3 linked regions of the Coturnix japonica genome follow. The protein of the gene in region 1 interacts with the protein of each later gene in a biochemical or structural test. Links are inferred from orthologs where the notes say so. Each region holds a gene or a part of one and is shown in the gene's direction. Other genes may lie near its edges.

Region 1 (4,073 bases):
TGGATCCAATGATCTTTGGAAAGTCCCTTCTAATGTAACTATTCTACTCTATTCTGTTCCATTTTGTTCCATTCCGATTTGTATTTCACGAGTCCACTTCTGCATTTCCCTTTGCTCCCAGGGAGGCAGACTCTGCTGTGCTCCTTGGAAGGGGCTCTGTTATTCATTCCAGCATTCCGAGCCCTGGCAATCCCATAAGCTTCCCATGGAGGCATGCAGAGCACAGGGCTGACTGTTGTGCTGCTGTGCTCTGTCAATGGGACAAAACATGCCCATTCCCTGGCCTGAAGGTGGCTGTGCCACTCAGGCTGGAGAGCACAGCTTCTGTGGCTGCAGAGCATTACCTGCAGTGAATGGGAATTTGAGGAAAAAGCTGTGGGAGGGATCTCAGCTGCAGGGAAGCAGTGATGGGGATGCTGAGTATGAGAGAAGGATGGGATCCTCTCTTTCACCTGGGACAGATGGAAGGGCTGGGAAACTGCTGTCACCCCACTTTTGGGGTCTGGGAACCAAGCCCAGCTGAGCTGCAGCCACAGCTGTTGCGTACATCCCCCGGCCTGTTGGCATCACAGATCGTTTGGGTACATGCATGGCTGGAGAGATGAGGGCACACGAGAGGGCAGCGCAGGGAACAAGAAGAGGCTTTGCTCCTCAGTGTCACTTCTGAGTTCTGATTAGCACTGAAACAGGGCAGGCACTCATCTGACAACCAAACTCCTTGCTGAACGGGGATCGGCCATGCATTAGGCTGCTCAGAATGTGGCCCGGCTTTCAGGTTTGGAGGTACAGAGTGTGAGTGGGGAGGGACAGCTGGTGCAGGCACGAGTACAGTCCCCACTAGAGTTTTTGCACGAGTTCTGGTTAACTTCGAAGAGCTGCGGCTAAAGGTGGCTGGATGGATGCGCACCATTTCTCCCCACCAGAAAGTGCAGATCTGTTCTGCGTGGGAAAAACAAAAGGCGAGAACATCGCTGACATCAGAAATTCGGGCACTTCAGAGCAGACAAGCGGAGAAGCTCGTGCAGTCCTTCCCACCGAAGGCACAGGTGGGCACAGGTGGGCTCCCACTCCGCACCTGCACAACTCGCACGGTCCTCGGCCAAGCTCAGCACCCACCCACCGCCCCTCGGGACCTCCGCGTGCCCGGCTCTCCCGAGGGTCGCTCCGCCTCCACCCGCCCGGAGCCCCGCGCGGCTCGAGCCGGGTTGCGGGGCCGGCCCGGGGGCGGGGAGGCGGGCGGGGGCCGGGGCGGGCCGTGTCAGGGCGCCTGCGCCGGCGGTGCGGAGCGCGGCGGAGCGGGACGGAGCGAAGTGAAACAAAACAAGCGGGGCTTTGTAGCGCCTTAAAGGCGCCGAGTCCGCGACCGCGGAGACAGAGAGAGAGAGAAAGAGAGCAGAGGGTGGAGGAGAGAAAACAAAGCGGCCCCGCGGCGGCGGAGAGAAGGAGGGCGAGAACGAGCCGGATTTTGCTTACTGAGCACTTTTTACATTTTTTACATTTTTTTTTCTTTTAGTTTTTATTTATTTTTTTTTCCTTAATTATTATTATTATTTTAAAGTCCTTTCCGCGGGCGCGGAGCCATGCGGGCACGGCGTCGGCGGTGATGGCTGTGAGCGGGCGGCTCGGAGAGGTCTATGAGGCAGCGGGTCGGAGCCCCTGCGCACCTGCTTAACCCGCCGCCGCGGGCGCGGAGAACCGCGCAGCGCCATGTCGCGGGTCGTCCAGAAGAAGAACCACTGGGCCAGCCGGGTGCGGCAGTGCGCGCTGAGCCGCGGGCCCGGCGGGCAGCTGGGCTTCGTCCTGCTGGGCGGCGCGGAGCACGGCGAGTTCCCCTACGCGGGCGCGGTGGCGGCCGGAGGCGGCGAGCAGTCGCTGTGCGAGGGGGATCTGCTGCTGGAGGTGCAGGGGGTGCGCGTCTCCGGGCTGCCGCGTTACGACGTGCTGGAGGTGATCCGGAGCTGCAAGGAGCCCATCGTAGTGAAAGCCGTCAAACAAGGTGCGAGGGGCCGGGGGGTGTCCGAGCGTGGGGAAGGTGCGGGAAGGGAAAGGTGAACGTTTTCCCTTTGGGCAGCGCAGGCTGAGCGAGGAGCGAGGTTGCTGCCCGTGTCACGCTTGCACACACGCGGGTGCTCACCTTTGCCACGTGCAAGCGTGCCTCCGAGCGCCTGCATCCCTACGGCTCCTCGCGCGTTCCTAGTCTGTGTTAAGTGATTGCGGGGCCGGCATCTGGTACTGGGGCACGGGGTGCTGGGTTCCCCACTCCCGCAGTCCCGCATCGCTCCCTGCAGCGATGGTGGATGGAGACTTGGCCAGAAGTGAGCGTGAGCTCCGTGCCTGTGTGGGACCGTCGCTTGTGGGAGGGGGAGTGCTGTCACTCGTCCCTTAGGGCTGCTCGTCTCCGGGTTAAGGCCAGCGTAGGGCTGCTGCCCCTTAGGTGAGGGCGCACACAGGTATAGCTCTGTGGCTGGGCCGGGGGCCGGAACAGCAAGAGACCTTTAGAATCCACTTTGTATCCATGTAGACGCTGCAGTGATACAACAGGTCAACGTCAAAAGCGTGGCAACCAACTTGCAGTTTCCAGGGCAGGACTGGAATTCAGCGCCAGGAAACTGCCCGTGTTGCTGCTATGGGATGGGTGGGACGACAGATGGGCACCTGCGATGACAGCTGTGAGGAAGGGAGGAAGGAAGGGCAGGTTCCGTAGGGAGAGTCGTTAGGAGAAAGTTTGTCGTGGTCCAGGCGCATCACGAAGTTTGGGGGTGTGCAGTGGGTGGAGCTGCATGGAAGCGCAGCCATTCATCGGTAATTTGAAACAGGTTACCAATGTGCGGTTACAGTAACATTTGGAACAGACTGCCAGGGGAAGTAGTGGAGTCTCAGTCCATGGAGGTGGTTAAGGGCTGATGTGGTACTTAGGGACACGTGCAGTGTTGGTGGTGGGTGGATGGTTGGACAGGATGATCTTAGAAGTCTTTTCCAACCTTAGTGATTCTAGGAACATTCACATTGTAGAGATATTCCAGCAAACAGTGCCAAACTCCATCAAACCCAGCTGTCTTTAACGCCTGCTCTCCCTGCTGCTGGGGAACAGAGTGGTCGGTGCAGGCTGCCCTGACAGGATGGGGGGGAAGCAGGAGGCTGAAGTATGGGGAAACAGGGCAGGTTTTGGTGTACCAGTTGTTGTAGTAGGTGTTAAAATACAGCCTGTGATGTTGCAGTGTGGTTGGTGTGTGAAGGAAGGTGTGCGAGTCCTTCCCAGCAAGCGACTGGTGATTAAACTTTTGGTTGTTTTGGAAACATTCATTAGTCTAAATAGAAACTTGTCTTTGAAACATACCAGAAATGACAGAATTTGATGGTAAACACACCTTGGCTCCAGGATGGTTGAAACGGGAGGAGTTTGTAGGGTGCTGGTTGGGATTTCCTGGAGCTGGGGAGAAAAAAGTTCAAAGCTGTGCCTGGAGTCGGGGCAGGCACTTGAGCCTTGCATCATCCATACCCAGAGGGGAGAGCCAAGCCTGGTTATGGTGATGATGATGATTGCTTTTTGAATGCTTTGTGAGAATGAAATGTAGAATAGAAATATATAGTTTTGTCTATCACTCATTTTCTTTCTTTCTTTGTGGTTTGGAAATCATTCTATGTGCTTCTCAATGAAAGCCTGGCATCTGTGTGCTGCTTTGCACTGAGCAGGGAGCTCCCTCGTGGGTCAGGATTCCACGCGTAGGAAAGGAGAGTGTTTGAATTAAAATACATTACTCCTTTGCTGATTAAAAAGCTCATTGTGGGGATGGCAGCTGTCATGCGACAGGAGGCGTGTGGCACTGGAGCAGGCAGTGAAGGAATGTGATGATGAGGGTGTAAGCACGCATCTCCTCCTCTTCCCAGTGTGTGGTGCCTGGTCTGCTGGTGCTGCAGCACTAGGGTGATCTTGGCCTGGTAATGTATACATTTTACTGCCTGGTCTATTTCGTATGACATTTACAAGGCTGGAAAAACAGGAAATTTACTATAAATGAGTCAGTCATCTATGAGCACAAACAGAGAAAATAGGTGTTCTGACCTTGCAGTTA
Region 2 (3,729 bases), on another chromosome or scaffold:
AATTGGCCTTCAGGAGCTGGAAAATAATTAGCACAAAATTACTGTAGAAAGTCTGCTCCATGCCCCAGCACTCCATCAGAAGGGATTTCCTGCCAGCTGTTTACTTTCAGGTGCTCTGACATTCCCCATTGTGAACACTGGCCACAGTTCTTCCAAACAAAAGCGTTCCTGCAAAAGCCTGTTTGGCTTAGAGATGAACTGCCAAGAGTTTATCTCCCACTGCAGCAGCCCTGAAAGAACCTGCTGTACTCAAGGGTTTGCTGCCTTTTGTTCTGACTTAGCCTCAGTTTAAACATGAAATCTTTTTCTATTTTCTTTCTTTTTTTCTTTTCTGGTTGATTGGTTTGTTTAATTCACTCTTTTTGCCACAGTAGATGTGAAGTTCTTGACAGGGAGAGTAGTGAGGTGCTAGAACAGCTGCCCAGAGAGGCTGTGGATGCCCCATCGATCCCTGGGGGTGTTCAAGGCCAGGTTGGATGGGGCCCTGGGCAGCCTGGGCTGGTATTCAATGTGGAGGTTGGCAGCCCTGCCTGCACTGGGGGCTTGGAGCTTTGTGACCCTTGAGGTCCCTTCCAACCCAGGCCATTCTGTGACTCTATGAAGCATTTTACATAGGCAGGAGATGTATTGCTTCTACCCACGTGTTCTACCCTCGCCATCTGCACATTATAATCCAATTTCAGGGTCATAAGGCAATAAGTCTATGTTGGTTTTAGTCCTGTGTATGTCATCACTGTCAGAGCCCTACGTGACTGCAATAGAAAACCATCCGAAAGTTAACATGGGTGAGACTTGAGATAATGTGGCCTTGAATTCCAGAGGGTGTGTAAACACTTGGCAGATAGAACACAGTGCTTTCCTCGTACTCAAACACGCTTTCCCTTTCAGAAACTCTACGTCTTCCTCTTCCAAGACATCCTGGTTCTGACCCGGCCGGTCACTCGCAATGAGCGTCAGTCCTACCAGGTGTACAGGCAGCCCATCCCTGTGCAGGAGCTGATCCTGGAGGACCTGCAGGACGGCGATGTGAAAATGGGAGGCTCCTTCCGAGGAGCATTTGGCAATTCAGATAAAGGTATAAAGCAACCCAACCCATCTTGTTTGAGGGCAAGAGGGAACGTCCGGGCATGGATCCCTATGGGATCCACCACGGTGCTGTCACTGTTGAGCTCTGCAGTGTTGTATCTGGAAGCTGTAAACTTTTATATGGCGCCTTGCAGTCGGTGCTAAGATTAGAAAAGACTTCAGTGTATCAGTGCTGGGGATTTTTGGAGGGGGGGGGGGGGGAACGTTGGTGAGACGTTGAACGCTTTCCCTGAAGCAAAACAGGGCAGATTGGGTCGCTTGTCTAATAATGGAAATTGAATAGCGAGCTCAAAACTGATCTGCTTTTTCCTATGTTTACCTTCAGCTAAAAATATCTTCCGAGTTCGTTTCCAAGACCCCTCCCCAGGCCAGTCCCACACACTGCAGGCCAACGATATCTTCCACAAGCAGCAATGGGTGAACTGCATCCGAACAGCCATTGCTCCCTTCCAGAGAGCCAGTGCTGCCCCAGAGCTGAAGGAGCTGCCAGAGCTCAGCGAGGAATCGGAGGAAAACAACCCCTCCGTGCCCAACATCAGAGCCCAGAAGAGGCAGTCGGCCATGTCGGGCATCACTGAGATGGATCTTGATGAGAGCATAGCTGAGTGCAGCTCCATCATGGACTCAGAGGAAGCCAAGGGCACGAAAACACACAGAACACTCTCTGGGCACAGGAAAACGAGGGAGAAGCAGCTGAGCAAGAGGAAAGAAACGCTGGTGTAGGGGAGGAGCCCAATGCCATCCTGGCAGGACTGTTTATTTATAAATAACGTGTACATTTTTCTTGTCATGTGAGCACGATTGGATTGGCTCTACTGAACAGAAGCGTCTTTTGGTTTGTTTTCCTTTATGTTGTAATGGCAGCTACTGGTATGCAGTTAACACTGTTGAACTGGAGTCTGTTTTCTCTTTGTATATAACGTGGCTGCTCTGACAGTGTCAGACAACATTTTGACCACCTCACAGCAGAGTTTGGACAAACACCTTTTGGTTTCGGAAAGATTTCCACGTCTGGTGGTTGTGGTTTGTGCCATCACCCAGAGCCTGGCCACAGTCCCTCCTTGAGGTCACATCAGTGCTACAAGCACGTTCCAAAGCTGAAACAACCATTTTCTTCCTGCTTCTTGCAGGAAAACAGACCCCAAGTTCAACAGGTTCTCAACTTACCTACTGGAATTGTTCATTTTTGAGTGTCCATTTGTACATTCCTCATCGTCACTCACGTAACCTGCCACGTATTTAATTGGTTTTTTATTTTTAATTAGTTGTTTTGTTTCGGGTTGGTTTGGGGGTATTTTTTGTTTCGTTTTTCTTTGTTTTTCTTCCTTTTTTTTTTTACTTTTGTATTCTTGTTGGACTTGGCATTTCCTTTCGAGTCCTCAATCCTTCCTGTTCAGAGATGTACAAATCGCTTCTCACGTCACTCACAGAACTGGGTTGTAATGGGGTGTAGGAAGGTTTTAGGCACGTTGCAAAAGGGTTTGGGGAGGGAAGAAGAGCAGATAGAGGGAAATAGAGGGAGCGAGAGTAGCTTTATTGTTGTGTTGTCAAATGAAACGCCTCTCACTGCCCGTGGGAGGCAGGGTTGGAGGCGACCAAGAGGATATTGCATGTGGTAGAGAGCATAGAGAAAAGAAAGCGTAGAGGAAAGCAAGCAGCTGAAGCTGATGAGTTAAGGGCAAAAGAGATGGCGACTGTATATAGCCGCGTAACGGCAGGCATTGCCATGTTCTACAGTGATCCAAAGATTCCCGTGAGATGCCAGCTTGGAACCTGTGCTGCAAAGTGTTGGAGGAAACAAAGCGGTGACAGCTCTGATCAAAGCCAAAACATCGTCTCTATGGCATGGCTGAAGGCGATCCCACAACACCAACCACCACGACACCAACCTGAGGACTCAATGGTGAAGTCCTGCCTGTTGGGTCACGTTGGAAATGGGAAGAGGGTTCACACAGACACAAACCCGCACGGTTCTCTGTAAATGAATGTCTTTGTACAGTTTCAAGTGCCAAGTACAATTAAATTCCTGATGGCCTCCTGCTTGTCTGAGTCGCTGCCTGGGTGGGACGCGATAATGCTGCCGGGGCTATAAGGCTGAGCTCATACAGAGGAGATAAGCTCACAGCTGACACTTCTCCTGTCCCCAGTCTCTCCAAGACATTCCAGGCCCCGAATTCAGAGGAAGGCTGTGCTGTGTCACAACCCTTCCCTTTTTTCCCTGAAATAATGAGCGAATGGTTTATGGCCCTGCACGCGGCCTGACGCCGCCCTACGTGTGCGACGGGTGGGTGCTGTAAAACAGGGCACAGCTCCGTGACTCACTGCAGAGCCTGCAGAGCTTGCTGTACGTTCTGGGGTAGGAGGAAACAGCGGTGATAACTACTCCCTATCCAAGCACTGTGGGGCTGACCGTGTATGGCAGCGTATGGGCACAGCTCCACGCCGACTCCCCTGGGTCTCCCAGGGCTGTGTGCCAGAAGGCAGCGTTTGCAGCACCATTTTTACCCACTGAATGCAAGTTTTGAGCTGGAAGGGGCTCAGCCCTCTGCCTTTAGGAGCATAAATGATGTTGGGGGGAAAGAAAAAAAAAAAAAACAACAACTCTTTTTGCAGGAGAAAATAAGGCATTATGAGCTGTGGGTG
Region 3 (3,647 bases), on another chromosome or scaffold:
GTACTAAATTTTTTCATTATGAGAAGATGGAATGACTGTCCACAAGGACTTTCAGTCATAATATTTGTATGCAATTGCTAGTTACACAGTCCTTCCTGCACAGTGCCACTCCTTCACCTGTATATCCTACACTATCACTACTATCAAGCCAGCAGCATGGCACAGAGGCTCCCACTGATATACTTTACACAGCAGTTATTTCAGGAAAGCCACCCTTTCCTTTGCTCTGCAGATGTGCTCTCTCTCTTGCCCTAATAGCAACGCACCATCAAAAGTCTCTTCTCTTTGAAGTACATCAATCTGTGATGACTCCCTGTAAAACAGGGGGGCCAACTTCCATTAGAAGAAGAGATGTTTCCTGATCCCACACAGAAAACTTTGATGTCAGACAGTAACTTTGTACTGGGTACTAAAACTAGGTTGGATTGAGCCTTGAGAAGAGCCTGACCTGGTGGGTGGCAACCCTGCCCATGGCAAGGGGCTTGCAATTAGGTGATTTATTAGGTCCCTTCCAAGCCAAGCCATTTGTGATTCTATGATTCTATGAGATCTCCTTGGACTGCAATTGTTTTGTTGGGAAGCTTACGTTGCCTATCCTCTACACTGGCGAAGAGACTTTCAAATAAGGAGGAGATTTTCTTTAGGGGGGAACGAGTGTTCAGTTTGCCAAGTTCCAGTCTTCAGCACTCCTACACTTTATAGACATTATTGTCCTTGTTTCTTGGAGGGATGGTTTCAAGCCCTGCAGGGATGGTCACATTATTGTTGTTAGTGAAAGCCCCTGTTCCCCAAGCCCAAACTGCCGCATTCCCATCCTGCTACAGGGGATAAGCTCTGCTTCTTAGGAGCCCAGCCTGGGCAGGCTCCATTTCCCATGCTCTGTTTGGCCACAAAAAATAACTTCTGGGGCACATCTGGTTGCTGTATTAAGGGATCTGTACTCCGACACAGAGCCCTGAAGAGGTCACTGGCTGCCCTCAACATAGAGCAGCTCTTGTACCACAGAAAAGTATCTGAGTGCACAAATTAATTTCCATTTACAGCAGTGTTGCCAGTGCTATAGTGTGTAAGTGGTAGTCCAAGGTGCCCAAGCTTTCCCCGTAGTGAAATTCCAAGAACACAAATAACTTTATTCAAAATTATGAAGCCTGTGAGGTCCAAAAAAAAAGACATAACCTGCAAGCATATACCACTAGGCCCTTATCTTTCTCACTGGGATGTATTAAAACTTTTTTCATGCACTTGGAAATTTCATATTGTTCTGCTTTTTAGGCTAAATTTTTTCAGTGCGTTTCTGGGATGTGCTGGCAGTTGCAGAGAGGGCATTTCTGTCCCATTGTTAAACAAGTAGCAGAACCAGAGACCTCCCTTTAGGAGTTGGACTTGATTACATTTACAGATCCCTTCAATTTCAGGGTATTCTATAATTCTATGATTTTAAAATACTACTACTTACAGATCATCAGAGAGAAAAAAATCAGGAGTTTAGCAAGTACATTAAAAAGAAAAAAAAAATGTGTATACTATTTAGAGTGTTTTATTGACCGGTTGTTTTGATTTGATTGAAATATAGCCTTGTGGGAGTGAAAATATCACTTTCTATGGAAATAGCCTGTTTTCCACAGGCCATTTTTATTAGGGCTGCTAATTCAGGCTGCCATATAGATGAATGTCTGATGAAAGAAATGAGCACACAAAAGGCTGGAAAAGTAGTGAATGAAGAAAAGACCCCACAAATAGAGACCTAGGAAACTAACTAGAGGAAAGAAGAAATACAGTATGAGGGGGAGGGAGTTAAAAAAGAACCTTGAATGAGAACAGTATTTATAGTGTTTCAGATCAAAACATCATTAATTTATACACATTGAAGTACATCAGTGTGTTCTTGCTATCACTCAGGCATATTGAGTGACGTGCTGTCAACAGCAGATATCGTTCTAGGAAGATTAGGCTGGTTCATATTGGCAAATACAGTTACTTTGACTTTCCATCCTAATTTGAAGCTCAGACTTACTGGTGGATGATGACTTCTTTTACTGATCAGTTTTTGAAGGTTCCATGGGTGGTATCCAGGAACTCATAACCTCCTGCTGCAAAATGGCCAATGTCAAGTTGGCTTATTTTGCTTTGAGAAGGCCGGGGAATTGCCATTAAAATGAATGCATAACATCCACTTCTAAAAGACAGTTCTCTCATAATTTGAGACAAAAACAAAAAACAAACAAAAAACAAATAACAAAAAAAAAAACAACAAACCAGCTGCTGTAATACTGAAACCATTTAGAGCTGGTGTGTTCATTTACAGAGACATCACAGTGATTAGTCATTCAGGAAGCTTTAATTTCCAACGTGTCTTCTCATTTCTGCCATGTGAAACAGTCCTAGCACTGATCTCCCTGAAGAGGCTGCAGCTCTGCACTCACTTTACTTCTTTATACTTTTGCAGAAAGGCAGAGAGCTCCCACTCCAGACAATGAATTTTTCTGAGATGACGCTAAATGACAGCTCCACTAACAGCTCATTCACCTGTAGCACGGATGCCTTCAAGCAAGTCATTTATCCCATTGCGTACCTCTTAATCTTCTTCCTGGGCAGTGTTGGAAATAGCCTCTCCATATATGTTTTCCTCCAGCCTTCCCAGAGGAAGACCTCAGTAAACATCTACATGCAGAACTTGGCAGTTTCGGATCTCATGTTTGTGAGCACTTTGCCCTTCCGGGCCACCTATTATCTGTTAGGATCACAGTGGGTGTTTGGTGATATCCTCTGCAGGATCATGACGTACACCATGTATGTGAACATGTACTGCAGCATTTATTTTCTCACCGTGCTCAGTGTGGTTCGTTTCATGGCCATCGTCTACCCATTCAAGAGCTGGAAAGTAAGTAACATGAAGTATGCCAAGATAATGTGTGCAGTGATATGGGTCTTCGTTCTGGCAGCCTCCAGTCCTCTGCTGAGCAAAGTAATTGCCGGGTACAAAAACCCAGCCAAGTGCTTGGACCTCCACCCCAGCAGCACGCACAGGCTCCTCATGATGAACAGCTTTGTCCTTGCTGTGGGCTTCATCTTGCCTTTTTGCACAATTATCATCTGCTACATCTTTGCCATCAGAGCGCTGCTCAAGTCCAAGACACCCCAGCGCAAGAAGGCAGTCTGTCACAAGAAAGCACTGTCAACCATCATCATCACTCTCATCCTCTTCTTTCTGTGTTTCCTTCCGTACCACGTACTGCGGACAGTCTACCTAGTGCTCGGTGGCTGCAGCCCAGCCAATCTGTTCGTGCACAAAGCACAGGTGGTCTCACTCTGCCTTGCTGCCACCAACAGCTGCCTGGACCCTGTGCTATATTACTTTGCAGCTGAAAATTTCAAAGCAAGAATCAGAAGTTTATACCGAAGGATGCTTGTGTAGAATTGCAGTATTACGTTCCTGCACTCCTGCCAAGACATCTAGACTGCATCCATACTACGTGATGAATGAATGTGCTGCTGACCATACTGCACTGTGCCAGGCATCTTGGGAAGAAAAGTGTTTGGGATAAAGTTCAGTGAGGATGGTCAATACCAAGACAGGAGCTCAGCAGTGCAGGTGATTGGAGGTCAGGTGCCTGGGTGTGATCTATGATCCACTTCTACTGAGAGCT

The links.
Region 2: the proteins of MAGI1 (region 1) and NET1 form a complex in vitro, tested with the Homo sapiens proteins (3 studies listed by BioGRID and IntAct, with this or other methods). The link is inferred for Coturnix japonica from reciprocal best matches to the Homo sapiens genes MAGI1 and NET1.
Region 3: the proteins of MAGI1 (region 1) and CYSLTR2 interact in a test that uses a peptide from one of them, tested with the Homo sapiens proteins (2 studies listed by IntAct, with this or other methods). The link is inferred for Coturnix japonica from reciprocal best matches to the Homo sapiens genes MAGI1 and CYSLTR2.

The regions. Positions count from the first base shown.
Region 1 is NC_029527.1:11,736,896-11,740,968, reverse strand, and holds the start of MAGI1 (membrane-associated guanylate kinase, WW and PDZ domain-containing protein 1), read left to right. Parts: upstream 1-1,271; 5' UTR 1,272-1,707; coding exon 1,708-1,996; intron 1,997-4,073. UniProt on the Homo sapiens protein: Plays a role in coupling actin fibers to cell junctions in endothelial cells, via its interaction with AMOTL2 and CDH5. May regulate acid-induced ASIC3 currents by modulating its expression at the cell surface.
Region 2 is NC_029516.1:1,134,411-1,138,139, reverse strand, and holds the end of NET1 (neuroepithelial cell-transforming gene 1 protein), read left to right. Parts: intron 1-888; coding exon 889-1,075; intron 1,076-1,411; coding exon 1,412-1,809; 3' UTR 1,810-3,126; downstream 3,127-3,729. UniProt on the Homo sapiens protein: Acts as a guanine nucleotide exchange factor (GEF) for RhoA GTPase. May be involved in activation of the SAPK/JNK pathway Stimulates genotoxic stress-induced RHOB activity in breast cancer cells leading to their cell death.
Region 3 is NC_029516.1:151,149,620-151,153,266, forward strand, and holds part of CYSLTR2 (cysteinyl leukotriene receptor 2), read left to right. Parts: intron 1-2,446; 5' UTR 2,447-2,473; coding exon 2,474-3,415; 3' UTR 3,416-3,647. UniProt on the Homo sapiens protein: Receptor for cysteinyl leukotrienes. The response is mediated via a G-protein that activates a phosphatidylinositol-calcium second messenger system.